2 linked regions of the Arabidopsis thaliana genome follow. The protein of the gene in region 1 interacts with the protein of each later gene in a pairwise test. Each region holds a gene or a part of one and is shown in the gene's direction. Other genes may lie near its edges.

Evidence for each region. The genes of interacting proteins can lie anywhere in the genome.
Region 2: the proteins of AT5G57170 (region 1) and PHR2 interact in a two-hybrid assay, tested with the Arabidopsis thaliana proteins (one large-scale study listed by BioGRID).

The regions. Positions count from the first base shown.
Region 1 is NC_003076.8:23,161,571-23,169,026, reverse strand, and holds AT5G57170 (Tautomerase/MIF superfamily protein), read left to right. Parts: upstream 1-5,762; 5' UTR 5,763-5,886; coding exon 5,887-5,997; intron 5,998-6,361; coding exon 6,362-6,601; 3' UTR 6,602-6,790; coding exon of another isoform or gene 6,791-6,826; 3' UTR 6,827-6,956; downstream 6,957-7,456. Other genes in the region: CIA2 (chloroplast import apparatus 2), read right to left, coding at 1-634; ATLIG4 (DNA ligase IV), read left to right, coding at 7,339-7,456.
Region 2 is NC_003071.7:19,518,349-19,526,598, forward strand, and holds PHR2 (photolyase/blue-light receptor 2), read left to right. Parts: upstream 1-3,425; 5' UTR 3,426-3,539; coding exon 3,540-4,493; intron 4,494-4,805; coding exon 4,806-5,047; intron 5,048-5,141; coding exon 5,142-5,207; intron 5,208-5,302; coding exon 5,303-5,384; 3' UTR 5,385-5,747; downstream 5,748-8,250. Other genes in the region: spliceosomal protein U1A, read left to right, coding at 48-338; MHX (magnesium/proton exchanger), read right to left, coding at 6,170-6,467, 6,538-6,667, 6,755-6,971, 7,090-7,205, 7,354-7,526, 7,618-7,736, 7,828-8,003, 8,090-8,250.

The DNA.
Region 1 (7,456 bases):
TTCTTCCACCGCGATTGATCATTCCCGGAACCCTAGATTCATAAATCCCCGAATTTGAATTCGATTCCACCACAGTCCCCATTATACTATCGATTCCTTCTTCAATATCCTCATCGAGAATCGATTCAGCATCGAATTCGTCGGAGAAATCAAACTTTTCGATTTCACCACCGTAGCAATCTCCACCGGAGTTAACTTCCTTCTGGTCTGAGAAAAACTCTGTTTTCGTTTGAATCGTTGGATGAAACAGAAAATCAGGTTCTTCGATTGATTCATAAGGAAGAAGCAAATCAGAAGCGTCGTCGTTGTCACTAAGCAATGGCCCGTAGAAGTGAGAGTTTGATGAAGAGTGAGTTTTTTGCTTAGAGGACAAGTTTGAGGAGAAGATGTTGGGATAAGCAGTAGAGAGAAGAGTAGCTGCTTCGTTGTAAGTCTGGTTTGGTCTTTTGCGTTGTGTTCTTGGCTTTCTCGTTGAGATTGCGAGTGGTGAATTTGATGATTCGGAGATTGTTGATGATGGTGAAGTAGCTCTTGTTGTTGTTGTTGAGGATGATGGTGGTGGTGATTTCACTTTTTCTAACTCGAAACTATATGCTGCTGCTCCTCCTCCTCCGCTGCTTAAACACGCCGACATTTTTTTTGTCCGGTGAAATCGGAAAAGAAACAAGACCAAAACTTTGAAGATTGTAAGAACTTTTGTGAGTGAGAAGAGAGTGATGAAATTAAGATTTTTGCCTTTTGATTAAAGAATTGTGTTTAATTTTAAGATAATAATAAACCCTTAAAACCCACTGAAGAAACCTTTTTTTATTTGGTGAGAAAATACAAAATTGAAGGGGGAAAAAAAGATCAAAACTTTAGGGAAAGAGGAAGATTCTGCTAACAAATGTTCATCATTTGAAAGAAAGAGCTAAGAAAACCCATTTGGAATCTGAGATTTATGTGTATGAAAACCAAAAGAATTGGCCAACGAGTGAGGTTTTACAGAAAGAAGCTAATTGGTTTGTGAAGAGGGAGAGAGAGATTGGAGGAGAAAGAAGAGTCACGAGATATATAAGAGGAGAAAGATTAGGGTTTTAGTGAGAGCTTAGTAACAAACAAAGGAGAGTTTAGTAAATAAATAGTGAAGAGCGTTTTTTTTTTTTTTGGTTTAGGGGTAATTTTAACTTTGAGAAGAGAAGTTGTGGAGAAACAGAGAGAGTGGTGGGAAGAAGAAGACGAGAGAGAGAGAGAGAGAGTGAGCGAATGGTGAAGAAGGGACAAGATAGCTCGTAATCGGCAATTCTGGAATGAATGGGGTCCACCAGTGGATTTTTTCACTTTTTGTATTGATTTAAAATTACTTTGTAAAACGAGTTTTCTTATGGATAGAGATACTTCCACGACTAAAGATTTCTATTCCATTTCAGAAATAGCCATTCAAAAGGTTTATAAGGTAAATTTTGTTACTGAAAACTCTTGGCTAATCTACAATGACTGGTGTTTGAATCAAAGTAAATTTCTCTATTTATTTTTTTGTTATAATGTTAATTAAGAAAAAAAGCTTTAAACAATGTTTGAGAGTTATTGAGAAATGATTTGGAGATTGAAAACAAAATAATGAAAAATCAATTGTTAAACCTATAATAAAGCGATATGATTGTGGCAACGATCGGTCATAATACGATTGAATTAAATTTGTTATGTGTTGATTTAACAAATTTATTTGTTCATTAACATTTACTCAAAATATAAAATATTAATTTTGTGACGATTTGGTAATAATGTAATGTAGCGACGATCGTTCATTCTTAAAGTTAAATTTTTATGTATTACATTAATATAACGACAGTAAGTCATTAATTCAAATTGAGTAAATCTTTTATGTATTGATTTATTGATATTATCCACTTGTTACACAATAATTTTTACCCAAAAATTTAAGATATTATTTTGCATATCGATCTTGTGGTGAGTAAGTAATATAACAGCGATCAGTCATTAATTTGAAAGGGGGATAAATATTTTGAGTGTGATTTATCGAAATTACTCATGATTGAAAAATATTAATCACATCATCGATTAAGTGGTAAGTAATGATGTAGCGCCGATCAATTGTCTAATCCAGCCTGTGGCAGTATTATATTAGTTGAGGTTGAGGATTTTTCTTCTTAGTTGATACCAAAAATCGAGTTCTACCATTCACAATATTTAATTTCAGCTCTTTAAACTAGTATAGAGTTAAACAAATTTATCCACTATTAGTTTTAGTTTCAATTTAGAGTCACCATATATTAGTTTAATTTTTGTTTCTATTAATTGCAGGTCCGGCTCTACACATGTGCCGGAGGAGCGAGGCACAGAGTCAACCCAAAATTTCTCTTTTTTTTGAAGTAAATCTAATACAATTACGATCCAAAAAAAAGATTTACATAACAAAACATAGGAAATGAGAACTAATTTTTTTTTCAGCTCTGGGTCCTTTATTATTTTGAGCCGACCCTGATTAATTGTAGCTAGAAGTGAAGCCATATATTGGTTTATATTTTAGTTTATGATATCTAGATTTTAAATAGAATTCGAAGTTATATTTTTTTACAGGTTTTGTAGAAGATTTTATTTAAAATTTGATATATATTTTTGATAATAGTAATAGTTTTAATAAGATTTCTCAGTTTTAATTTATTGATTTGGTTGTGATATCCGATTTCTGTTCTTCTTGAATAAAGTTTAACCAAGAAAAGATGCTCAAGAGTTTAATCCAGGTTGTTTAGTGAGTAATAGTCATTAATGATCCTTTTTGACTGGAGGGAAATGTGATTCTGTTTTTGGATTATTTTCTAAAAAGATGTAAAAACCACATCATCATCATCCAAATCTGCAAAATCTTTTTGGGATCTTAAAGAGAAAACGAGGAAAGGTCACCTTATCCATTGACGTGGCACATACCCATTGGCTCTACTAGATTTCTTTGATGACGTGGTGCTTTCTCAATTAACTGATTATGGTCGCCTGGTCGGAGACGTTTTCACGTGTTCTTAAAAAACCGACTTTATTATTTTACTAATTTCCCTTTATTAGTAAGATTTTTTTTTTTTTTCAAATTTACTAATTTAGCATATTTGGGAAAAAAATATTAGCATAAATTGATACTTTCTTATCTATATTTTAGATAATTTTTTGGATATATATATAGACATGATAATTGAAAATTTATTTCTTTCATTGACTTACTTTTTCAAGGTTAGTTTTATGTTAAACTTTCAAACGTTTCTGCAAAAGAAACATTAGAAAAGTAACGGCCGTAATATAATATCTATAGCTAATTGGCTATATTAGTAGAAGCAAGCTTACAAAATTGTCGTATTTACAATATAGTTATTAAATAATAATTAATTTAGTTTAAAAACAAAAGTGTGGAAAGAGAAAAGTGGTGGGCTAGTGGATTTGTGTATGTGAGAGAGAAAAAATGATTGGAACCTTTTTGGGATCATTTGAAGTAATTTGTGGCGAAAGCTAAACCTACGTTTACCTCATTAGGTTCAATGACTCCTGGTTAGATATCTGATTTTCTATTTAGATATGTTTGTTTATTTTATGTTAGATATTCCATTATATGAGATATGATACCCACGAGTCATCCGTCTATATCAAAATTGAAATTGTATTAAAACATTGTGATTACATATACTTAAAACGAAATAAACCCAAATAAATTAAATTAAAAAGGAACTTGCAAGAAAAGTCGGTAGACAAAAAAAAATCTTCGTAGAACTTTGAAATGTAGAGAATTTTTCTTATCTAAAGAAGTTGTGCTGGAGGGAATTTGAACCTCAAGAAAAAACAGGATAAACCTTGTTATGGCACTGCTCCAAAGTAAGTTTTGTTCTTATGTTATTCTTATGTCAACATGTGACCTCTCTTCCATTTCTTTACTAATTCTTTACCATTTTCCCGTAAAAGTTTTGTTGGATAAAAGTACATTAATAATTTCAATCGTTGCAGCATGTGTGATTGATGTACTTTATACCCGGATACTGCTACGTCAAGGACATTAAGGAGAGATAAAACTAAATAGATAAAACTCTGTGACTAAAGAGATAAAAATATGTGACTACAGAGATAAAACTATGTGGCTCCCCTGTTGTGAGTCGTATTTTGAGTATTTATTTATGTGGATTTTAAAAGGATTATGGATTAGATAACATGACTAACACGAAGAATGAAAAAAGTGACATTTATTTGTTTATATATAGTAGAAGAAGAAATTGTTGAAATAAAAGAAAAAATGATTTTGAAGAATATCTCAGCTGTCGTTTTCAGTGTTTATAATTCACAGCTTGATGACCTTTATACGTAATTAGAAAGAATGCGGCTATGTTAAAACTTAAAACCCTCGAATACCATAATTCTGACTGTCCTATAAAATTCAAAAATATTTCATTTGTACAATCAGACATTGTAGACAACTTGTTTACAATTATCTTACCATGTAGTTATTTCGGCCACATCTAATGGGTCTTACCATTTTTTGTTCTTATACTATAAGTTAACATAAACCACACGAGAATATATATCATAGATGATACACAAAAATGAAATACATGTTGTAGGCAGCAAAAAGAAAAACAACTCTACAGAAAACATATCTCATCTTATAAAACCCTATTTAACCATTCATTTGGATATTGAAAAACCAAGTAAAATGAAAACACTTATAGCTAAGAAAAAAATCTACATGAGACTAGGCAGATCTGAAAATGTGAACTTATAGATTTTTATCAAATGGGTCATGGCTCAAGAGTAAGTAACCCAAATAGTTACAAACAACAAGTGAACTATTTCTTCTCTTACAGATTGGAGGGGACCATTAAAACTATCTATGTCTTGCTCTATATTTCAAATTCTAATTTTTTTTTTATTATCAGCATGGGTAATAATGCAATAGCACAACTCTTTCATAGATTGCCTTCCATGCTTATGATAAACTGTTGATATCCAAAGAAGGAAAACAAACAAATAAGACAAGTAACTAACTAGATAAATATAGACAATTCAAAAGATAAATGTTAGATTGATAGATTGAGAGTAAGAAAAAAAAAAAAACATACTTCGAGTATGTACGGACAAATCTATAATACACTTTATTGTGACTTAATGTCTTATGTTTCAATAAATGAAATATGAAATAAAGATACTATGATACAAATCATTATATACACATACAATTTTGAGGTCAGGAGTCAGGATTCATAAATAACAAAAAAATAAAAAAAATGAAAAACACAGTTTTAGTAATATTGGTAGTATTTAGAAAATGGGATTTAGCTAGTGTGGGCTTACATATTGTGATTGCTTATACAACAATTGTCTTTAAGCCGATTTTGATTGTTCGAGTATAAGTGATGCTAATACTAATTCAAGCCAATTGTCATTAGAAAGAAATCATAAATTCTTTTCTTATGGTTATCTAGATAGTCACTTATTCTCTCGTTCCTTACTCATTCATTGGATCCGAAAAACGTTAAAAGCTTATCATAAGCATGGAAAGACAAAAGTGAAAGAGTTATGCGATTGCATGATTCTCCATGCTCATTCCAAAATAAAATAAAAAATCGAAATTAGGAAAAACATAACTCTCTATTGGTCCCCTCCAAAATGTAAAAAAAATAAAATTGATATTTTACATTTGGGCTGAAATTTGCATTGTAGGCCCATGGGATTCCGGTTTGATAACTTTATATTGCCCAATTTTATATCGATTTTTAATTTCAATTTTAAAGATAAAAGTAAATGAACTGGTAAGCCACTGGTTTTGGTTCTGCTCTTACCGTTATCCCAACTTCCATATCCAAACTGAAAGACACTGGTTTTGGTTTTGTCGGGAAAAGGAGAAACTTCAAAAAGATGCCCACTTTGAATCTCTTCACTAACATACCAGTCGACGCCGTCACTTGCTCAGACATCCTCAAGGACGCCACTAAGGCCGTCGCTAAAATCATCGGCAAACCTGAATCCGTAACCAACTCTAACCCTCTGTTTCGGCCATTTCTACGCTAATTCATAAATTAAAACTTCAAATTTTGTTCCTGTTTAGTGTTTTGATTACATGAAAGCAGAGTAGAATAGAAATTTCCTTTTGTTGATAAGGTTCATGACGTTGGTTGTATTATGCACATGAAGTGTTCGATGGAATTCCTCTCTGAATTGCAATTCCTCATAACTTAACTCTTGAGAGTTCCCTTTAGATTACCAATTTACTAATTCATGGAACTTTGTGGAAACCAATAATACAGTATGTTGACAATATCACTAAAGGATTCTTAAGCTTGTGTTGTGGTCTTAACTTGTGGGCTACGTCTGTTTTCTTCTTTGTTTTCAGTATGTGATGATACTGCTTAACAGTGGAGTGCCCATTGCATTTGCCGGTACCGAGGAACCTGCTGCATATGGAGAATTGATATCTATTGGGGGATTAGGACCTGGCGTAAACGGGAAGCTTAGCGAGACGATATCTGAGATTCTCCAAATTAAGCTCTCCATAGACAGCTCTCGCTTTTATATCAAATTCTACGATTCTCCGGTAAGTCCCCTTTTGCTTCAAATTCAAAGCTTTGCATAAGAAAGATCTCATTCTCAAGAACTTATATATAGAATGCTGATTTAGATTAAAGCTAGATGCTGATGATGGGCTATATAAATTAATATATGGATACACACTTAGATGAAAGCACGATGTTCTTTAGTTCTTATAAACTTGATCAATGAATAGAATGTTAGTTAAATTCTTTGTTTTGCTTTTCTTTGGCAGCGACCTTTCTTCGGTTACAATGGATCAACTTTCTGAAAAGAGGCGAATTCAACCTTGTAATGATATTTGGGTTAGAACTGTTTGCTTATTCATTTCAAAAGCTGTAATTCTGAACCATAATTTATAATTTTACCTCCCTCAAAGCCAATATATTTCGTATTTAAACTGCTTTTGGGCCTAGTTTGTCACTTGTGTGATATGATCTCATAATTTTGTCAATACTACTAAAAATGTAAACTGCAGCCCAAAAAAAAATTGTAGCCCATAAATCCACTTTGACGATTTTCTAAATTAATATAGTACACATTGGACTGAATTGATTGATTAATTAAGTTACAGGACAAATGTGTAATATAGAATAAATAGTTACTGGGAGAGAAGACCGAGTCACTGTAACTTGGCAGGTCTTACCAAAACCGGCCGTGCAACTTTTCAAACGCGACTTCCTTCTCCGGCAAGCAATTCACGCCGCTGCTCAGTGATTCTCCGTCACTATTTCCCTGATTAACCATCTTCTCCGGAAGAATCTATAATTCCGGCAAAGTAAGATGACGGAGGAGATCAAATTCAGCGTACTGGTATCTCTCTTTAACTGGATTCAAAAAAGCAAAACCTCATCTCAGAAACGATCCAAATTCCGCAAGTTTCTCGACACTTACTGCAAAC
Region 2 (8,250 bases), on another chromosome or scaffold:
CTTTTCCTGTATTCTGATGATCGTTCTTATTGCCACGCTTTTCACAGCTATCGCAAGTACCATACCCTGGTGGTATGAAACCCAATATGCCCGAGGCACCAGCTCCGCCAAATAATATTCTCTTTGTCCAAAACCTTCCTCACGAGACAACTCCAATGGTGCTTCAGATGTTGTTCTGCCAGTACCAAGGATTTAAGGAAGTTAGAATGATTGAAGCCAAACCGGGAATCGCCTTTGTGGAGTTTGCTGATGAGATGCAGTCGACGGTCGCAATGCAGGGACTTCAAGGTTTCAAGATTCAGCAAAACCAGATGCTCATCACGTATGCCAAGAAATAGACAATTTCGTTTTATTTGTGTTTCGATGAGATATGTTTGTATCTGTCAATGTTACTTCTTCCATGGTTTGCGCAAGAAGGAAACTTGTCTTTCTTGTGTGTTTGTTGTAGAATTGCTTAGAATATTACACAATCATCTAACTTACAATTTTTTCATCCAGACAATAAGCGTCTCGATTTGGTGTTTGTCTATCTAATATTTCGTCACCTTCTTCCACTTATGGATAAGCCTCTTCTTCCATATTTGATCAGATAACTGAAGACCTTTAATTTGACTGATTAAACGAAACTATAATGAATTAAAGTAAAAAACTCGCAAAGTGAACTTTAAACTAAAGGTTTATGGATGATTGGTTTGTTCTTTTTTATTTACGAATTCTTGGATATCTAATAAAAGAGAAACAAGAAGCAATCATTATTTGATGTTGGATTGGTGAAAGAAAAGTCTTTGTAGTGTAGCTGTTTTTCTTTGTTGCTGATGAGGTCAGCGATTATTAGGTCCAAAACTCGTGCGTCAAGAGAATTGAGTGAGCTCTCTCCTTTTTTTGAAATATTGGGCGAAGGACACTCCTCCATGCATTTAAGTTATCAAAAGCATTAATTAGACGATGGTTCAATAAATGAGTGAGCATTTAGTGGGAAACACGAGTGTGATACGGACACGTAAAAGCATTAATGCATGTGTTTATAGATTTGGTGATGACTTCATTGTCTGACTCTGTCTCCTCTTTTTACAAGACAAAAGATTTGTTGCTGATTCATCTCTGCCTCTCTGGTCTGTGTGACACACACTGCCTAATTAGTGTTATTCTGTATCTCAGCTCTTGCTTACTAGCTTATCTTAGTACTTAGTAGTAAAACATTAATGGGTCATTATGTATATGTCCAATGAATCACCACTTTAAACATTAATGGATCACTTGCTAGCATCTTCAATTACTATATAACAATTTAACTAGCTATAGTAAGACCATTAATCTAGAGATCATATTTACCTATCCTGAGTCCATGTGTGGACTGAGGAGGATTATACATTAATCATAGACCATATATATAATATACACAATCAACTAATGAAAGAGGGAGGAATGGTATCAACATAGGGACCTTTTTTTTTTCCATGTTAGAGAAAGTTAGGACAACACGCAAAGCCCTACGTGCACTCTTTCATTATTCCTCTCTTCTTTTGCCCCCAACAGTCTTTGACGACCCACCTTGCCCTTTTGACCCTTCTCTCTCACGCACATGTATGTTATTAATTCAAATGGTTCTTTTATGCTTCGGCATTTATCATCATGATATACATACATATCGATCGATAGAGGAAAAAAAAAAATCATTTATGTAGTAGAAAATTTACAGATATATATATATATATATATATATCGTATAATGTATATCAATATTTGAATTTGAAGAGTTTCAATATAAACTGAAACAAAGTTAAGTGTAGATTATTATTAGTGAGGAACTAGTGGATATCCAGTTTATTTTGGTATATACCGGTAATTCATTCTAATGAAGTGAAAGAATATGGATACTGTATTTTTTTACCATGCCATAGAGTAGATGCTAGCTAAAGATTAGTCGTAAGAGAGGTCTAAGGTCTTGCTTGTCAACGCGTGACCGGCTTCATAGGATCCTAGCAATAAGACAATATGGTACGCCTAGCAACCTAGCACTTATATATGTAGAGTTTGTGAAATTTAGGGCAGACAAGCCCCCACACTAAAAAAACAGTAATATGGAATAAAAAAAAGCTTTCAAAACTTAGCAGTTATTAGACAAGGTATTGTTTGGCCCTAGCTAGCGATCGTTTAGCTCTCTTCACTCTCTCACTTTTTTAGTTCAACCCTTCTTTTGCGTGAGATGCCATCATGGCATGGTATGGTTCTTTTGCCTTACGTAAAACACACTCACGCCAGCACACACACACACACACATAACATATACGGATGTGCGTGTGAGCTAGTCTTCCATTAATGCAATCTTTGGGCCTATATATACAAACCTTTCCATAACCAAAGTTCTCATACTACAAACGCCCCTCATGTGCTTGGAAATGCGGGTGAGAATCTCCATGTTGGAGAAGCAGGGCACGTGCAAACCAACAAACACGAAATCCGTCTCATTTGCTTATTTGCACGTACTTAACTTCTCCAACATGAGCTCTTCACCCATTGATGTTATATATCCCTTAAACCTTATTGATAATGTGTTTTTCGTTGTTCTTGACTAGCTCTTCGTTGTTTGTGTGTATATGTGTGTTAAATCATTTGTGTTCGACGGTTGATTAAATCTTTATAGTTCTCATATATGTAAGTGTTGCTTTGGTTATTTTGAACCTTATTGTGTGCTGACCAAAATGTAGCGTTTCTAGATGGGATTGACGGTGCACAATGCACATGAAACTAAAAGGGTAATTTCAAGCTCTGTCTTCGCCATATATAGTTCTCATTGAGCTCTTTGGCTTGCATTAATTACGAGAGTGTTTTCGAACTTGTGGTTGTATACTTCACTGCATGGACCGTTATTCGTTTCAAATTACCTACAGAGTTATACATTTAGCTTTTGTGATGGTTTTTGCAGCATATGTAACGCATTGATCAGAGGTTCATATACACAAAATGGAACGAATATATGGAGAGTCCCATGATATGTAAGATCGAATTAATCACTTGTTTGAAGATCAGAAACTGTACTTTAGCTACTTTAATCTCTAATTTTGTCATTTTCAATTTTTATTCTGGTTTTACAATAATGTTAGTTTTATCTTCATTTTTATAAATCTTTTTTTATATGTGTAAAAATGGCAAAATGATAAAACATAGGAAACTTATAATTGAGACCTTTATGATTTTAAATAAATTTATTATTCAAAAATTTTAATTTCAAATTTTATATTAATTGACAAAATATATTTCAATAAAACTGTTCAGAACTATAATAGGATTTAAAAATGTTAAGAAAATTCGTATTTTTTTCCTTCATTAGTAGTGTTTATAATAGAAAAAAATCAATCAATATTTCTAAAGTTGAAAATAAAATAACAGTGCTACGATATATTTTAAATACATTTTATTAAAATATTTGATCTAAACAGAAGAAATTGTGTGGGGAAAATCGACGAGAGCTTATCAATTCATCTCACACTCTTCTTCACTCTCTTCTCTCTACACACACACACACACACACACACAAAATGGATTCTTCGAATGTTGAAGAAAACCTAAACCCAGAAACAAAATCCGCAGAAGAACAAAACCCACTTGCCATTTTCCATTCTTCTCTACCAATCGCATCTCTTTCTCTGACCTTGTTCCCATCCTCGACTCAATTTCTCAAATTGTTTGCTCATCATCCAAACAAGGTTAAGATCCCTACGCAGGCTTCTTCTCTCACTCATCTCTCTCTTTCTTCTGTCTCTCCTTTTCCTTCTTCCAGAATCTCTTTCAAATCCACCATCGCTGCTAACCCTCTTCAATCCCCTCTCTCCATCGTCCCTCGTCGTCCCGTTGATCCTTCCTCCGCCGCCGCTCTCCGCCGTGCTGCTGTCGTCTGGTTCCGCAATGACCTCCGTGTCCACGACAACGAGTGTCTCAACTCCGCCAACGACGAGTGCGTCTCCGTTTTGCCCGTTTACTGCTTCGACCCTAGAGATTACGGCAAGTCCTCTTCCGGCTTCGACAAAACGGGGCCTTTTCGTGCCCAGTTTCTGATTGAGTCCGTTTCGGAGCTCCGGAAGAATCTCCAAGCCAGAGGGTCGAATCTAGTTGTCCGTGTCGGGAAACCTGAAGCTGTTTTGGTGGAATTGGCTAAGGAGATTGGAGCTGACGCGGTTTATGCTCACAGAGAAGTGTCTCACGACGAGGTTAAAGCGGAAGGGAAGATAGAGACCGCGATGAAGGAGGAAGGCGTTGAAGTCAAGTATTTCTGGGGAAGCACTCTCTATCATTTGGATGATTTGCCCTTCAAAATTGAAGACTTGCCGTCAAATTACGGAGCTTTCAAGGATAAAGTCCAGAAATTGGAGATTAGGAAGACTATCGCAGCGCTTGATCAATTGAAAAGCTTGCCCTCTCGAGGAGACGTTGAGCTTGGCGATATTCCTTCTCTCCTGGATCTTGGCATTAGCCCCACTCCTAGGACTAGCCAGGTTTGAGTTCTTCATCTTTGCTTAGCTTGATTGATTCCTTTATCCATCTAGGTTTAGGCATTTAGAAAAGGTGGAAACTTGTGGGACTTATAATTCAAACTCTGCCAATTGGTTCCATTTCTATAGGAGAAGAGCTACTTACCCATAGAGTGATAGGGATAAGTACTATCAAGTGTTAATAGTAGTAGTGCTGTTTGAAGGTCCATGGATTCTTCTTAGGATCAATGAACGTTTCTCTTTAGGTCCAATATTCGTCTGCGGCTCTTACTGTCTTACACCTTCTCTTAGGAGTTAACATTTTGTTCTGCTCAGGAGGGGAAACCGACAATGGTTGGAGGAGAGACAGAGGCGTTGACTAGACTAAAGAGCTTTGCCGCGGATTGTCAGGCTCGGTTGAGCAAGGGAAACCAGAAAGGAGGCAACAACAGTGTCTTTGGTGCAAACTTCTCTTGCAAGATATCACCTTGGTTAGCCATGGGAAGCATCTCTCCTCGTTCCATGTTCGATGAGCTGAAGAAAACAATCTCCGCATCAACCACCTCCACAACTCCAAGGTAATGTCTCAGAAACGCAAAACACTTCAGGAAACTCTGGTGAACATAGTAAGTGTATGTGTCTAATTATCATTCTTTGAAATGATTTTCTCAGGAACGGACCGGGAGATACAGGACTCAACTGGTTAATGTATGAGTTGCTATGGAGGGATTTCTTCAGGTGAGCTCTTACTTTCTTAACTTGCCCCCTAGTAGAAATGTAGAATTTGTATTTTGTCTGATTCTCTCTTTGATGTGTGTTTAAACTTGGAACAGGTTTATAACCAAGAAATACAGCTCAGCGAAGACGCAGGTCGAGGCTGGTCCGGCTACAGCCTGTACCGGTGCCTTTGCTTAAACATTTGAAAACTTTCAGGTGACCGGAAAAGTTAGAAGCGACCTGTTTCTTTGCCCTACTCTGGTGTATGGTGGATTAATTTGCTATCCGGACAGGACTTTACTGCTCTCTTTTGAAACTTGAGTGTCAGGAGAATAAAATCTAAGCTTCTTTTTTTGGCTCAATCAAGTTGTCCGTTCCCTGTTCTAAACATTTCGGATACTCATTCCATAAAAAGTCTCTACAATTTGAGACGCTCTCCTTTGTGGTTAAGACTTGAGAATGTATCTTAGAAAATAACCGAAGTAGTTGTGTCTATGAATATTAAATTCAGGAATATTAAGATGTCACTAATATCAGAAGCAAGCAGCAACTAGAATATGCACTTCGTGGTAAATGGGCATTAGAAATTCTACAACACTTATTAAAGAACCGTACTAAACACTAGTTACTTGGATGAAAGTTACATATAAAAGTTTATATTAATCGACTAAGATTATTTGCTTGACTTTAGAGAAAGTTTGCATATATGTACCACAAATTGGTAACACTGCAAATAAAAAAACAAAAAAAACTGCAGGATAATGAAAATGTACTCCATATATGCACCTCCTAACTAGAGATGAAGCCTCCAAAATCATAGTCAATATGATTTATATTTGCAACACATATTTAGCCAACTGCCTTTGAACTTTGATAATTATATAAAACCCCCTTAACAAGTAAGAAAAACAAAAACTGAGACATGTGCAAGTAAGCTAAGACTTTTTCTTCTACTCATGGGGTTTTTCCTTTTGTTGCTTCTTCTATATGACGCCTGAAACTTTCAAAGAAGAAAGAACAACGAAGACGACCCAAAGCATCATGAAATAGGCAGAAGTAAGCCAAGCCCATAGCCTTGGACCTCCAAGCTCAGCTCCTATAATCAACCTTCTCAACACAAGCACCACGATACATCCCACTGATGTCGCAAAGAATATCAGAAGCGAAAAGCTTAATCCTTTAGCGTTTTCTATGTATAAAGGCTCTCTGTATGCAAAGTAGTTGTAGACTGTGTTTATCAGCCACGGAACTCCAATCCCCACATAGATGTTCACCGAGTTACTGCATAATTTATCACCAAAAAGATCATGAAAAGATCTTCAATGTTTGTAAAGGGTTTTGAGATTTTTACCTGCAGGTGATGTTTGCAATAGCTGAATCTGCGGTTAGTTGTCGCTCTGCAGCGATTTTACTTGCTACTAAGTCTGGCCATGAAGTTCCACTTGCGAGTGCTGTGAATGCTATCACATATGGGTTTATTCCTGCAAGATGAAAAGAGTTTCTAATGTTTTAGAGCTCAAATGTTTAATCTTATAACTTCAGTTTTTGAAAGCGGTGAGGGTGTGTACCAGTGACACAGCTTATAAGGTCAGTAAATCTTGTGACAACAAAGGCTACTCCACTGATGAAGAGGAGAGAGCAGATGAAAGCGATCCAACCGTGAGCAATGTTGCAGGGGGGCACAAATGCAAAAAGCAGTTTCCAAGGGGCGAGGAGTAAATGCCAGAAAGATTTCGCGATTCGAAGATAAATGCTATCCACTTTCTTTGATTCTGATGTTTCCAACTGTTTGATTACGAATAGGAAGAGAAACAAGTTAAGAAAGATGTGTTGATAATGATCAAAAGCCCAAAATAGGATATAGAAGAATCTAGAAAACACTTGGTAAGTTGAAGATTTTTACCGTTATTGCATCCACGAATTGATGTTTCCAAATGTCAAAAACAGTAGAATTCTTCGCCTTACCCTTCTTAGTCGCAGAATCGGGTGGAGTATCTGCCACAGTATGATAAGTGATCCCTGCAAAAGTGTTTGTTACAGGGAAAGTTTGATTTATAACAATATACTACCAGAGATAAATATGGGAATCACATAGATTTGGAAATAAGCAAATACGCTAAAACTGATCTTATATCAATAGAATAGACAGCCTAATCATACTTAGTACCTGTATCATTGTTAGCTGAATGAATAGAGAAGATATCAACAATGTTTCTGCTTCCCGATTCAACAGCATCTTGAGCAGCATCCGAATACACATCATGAACATCATTGTCATTGTCATCTTTGGATGTATCAATCTCCTCTGGAACCCACTCCTCTGGCCTATCACCTCTTGACCTGCAAGTATCAAATACAAACACAAAGATACAATCTTTAGTAGAAATCCATTTTGAAGGAACTAATATTATTGTCTGGAAAAGAAACCCACATTGGTAAAGACAAGTAAGGCCATCGCTTGTCTTGGGCGTACGCATGAACTAGAAGCAATCCGTATTGCAGTACTGTCAATAATGCCTCCACAAGTGTAATTACGTTTGGTGACCACACCTGTGAGACGTGAAAAGAAACAGATTTTTAGACCTTATCAGTATAGAGTATAGACTCAACAGAATCTGTTTAAACCGCTTTTCACAGTTACCTCGAGGATTATGTATAGCCAGATGTAAGCCCAAAAAGACCATACGAGCTCAACTAGCCAAACACCTAAGTCGGATATCTTTTTCAGTTCTCCAGCTTTTGGCACAACGACACAAACAGCGTGGATGGGGAAAAGATCAAATGCAGCTGAGCCAACAAGTGTTCCAGGACCAAGACCTATATGACAAAACATGATATAAGAATTCATGAACTTAAAAGTAAAAACTAGAGTTTTGGAAGGAAGAAAGGAACAACCACCAGACCTCCAGCATACCGCTCCCCCATATTCCGTATTGCATCGATGGTAGCCAAAGAAATCTGAGGGAAGCTAGTTCCAAACGCCAACAAACTGATGTCTGCAATAGTAAAGTTCCAAACTTTCTTGTATGTGATGACTTCAGCTTTAGTAATGGGATCAATTGTA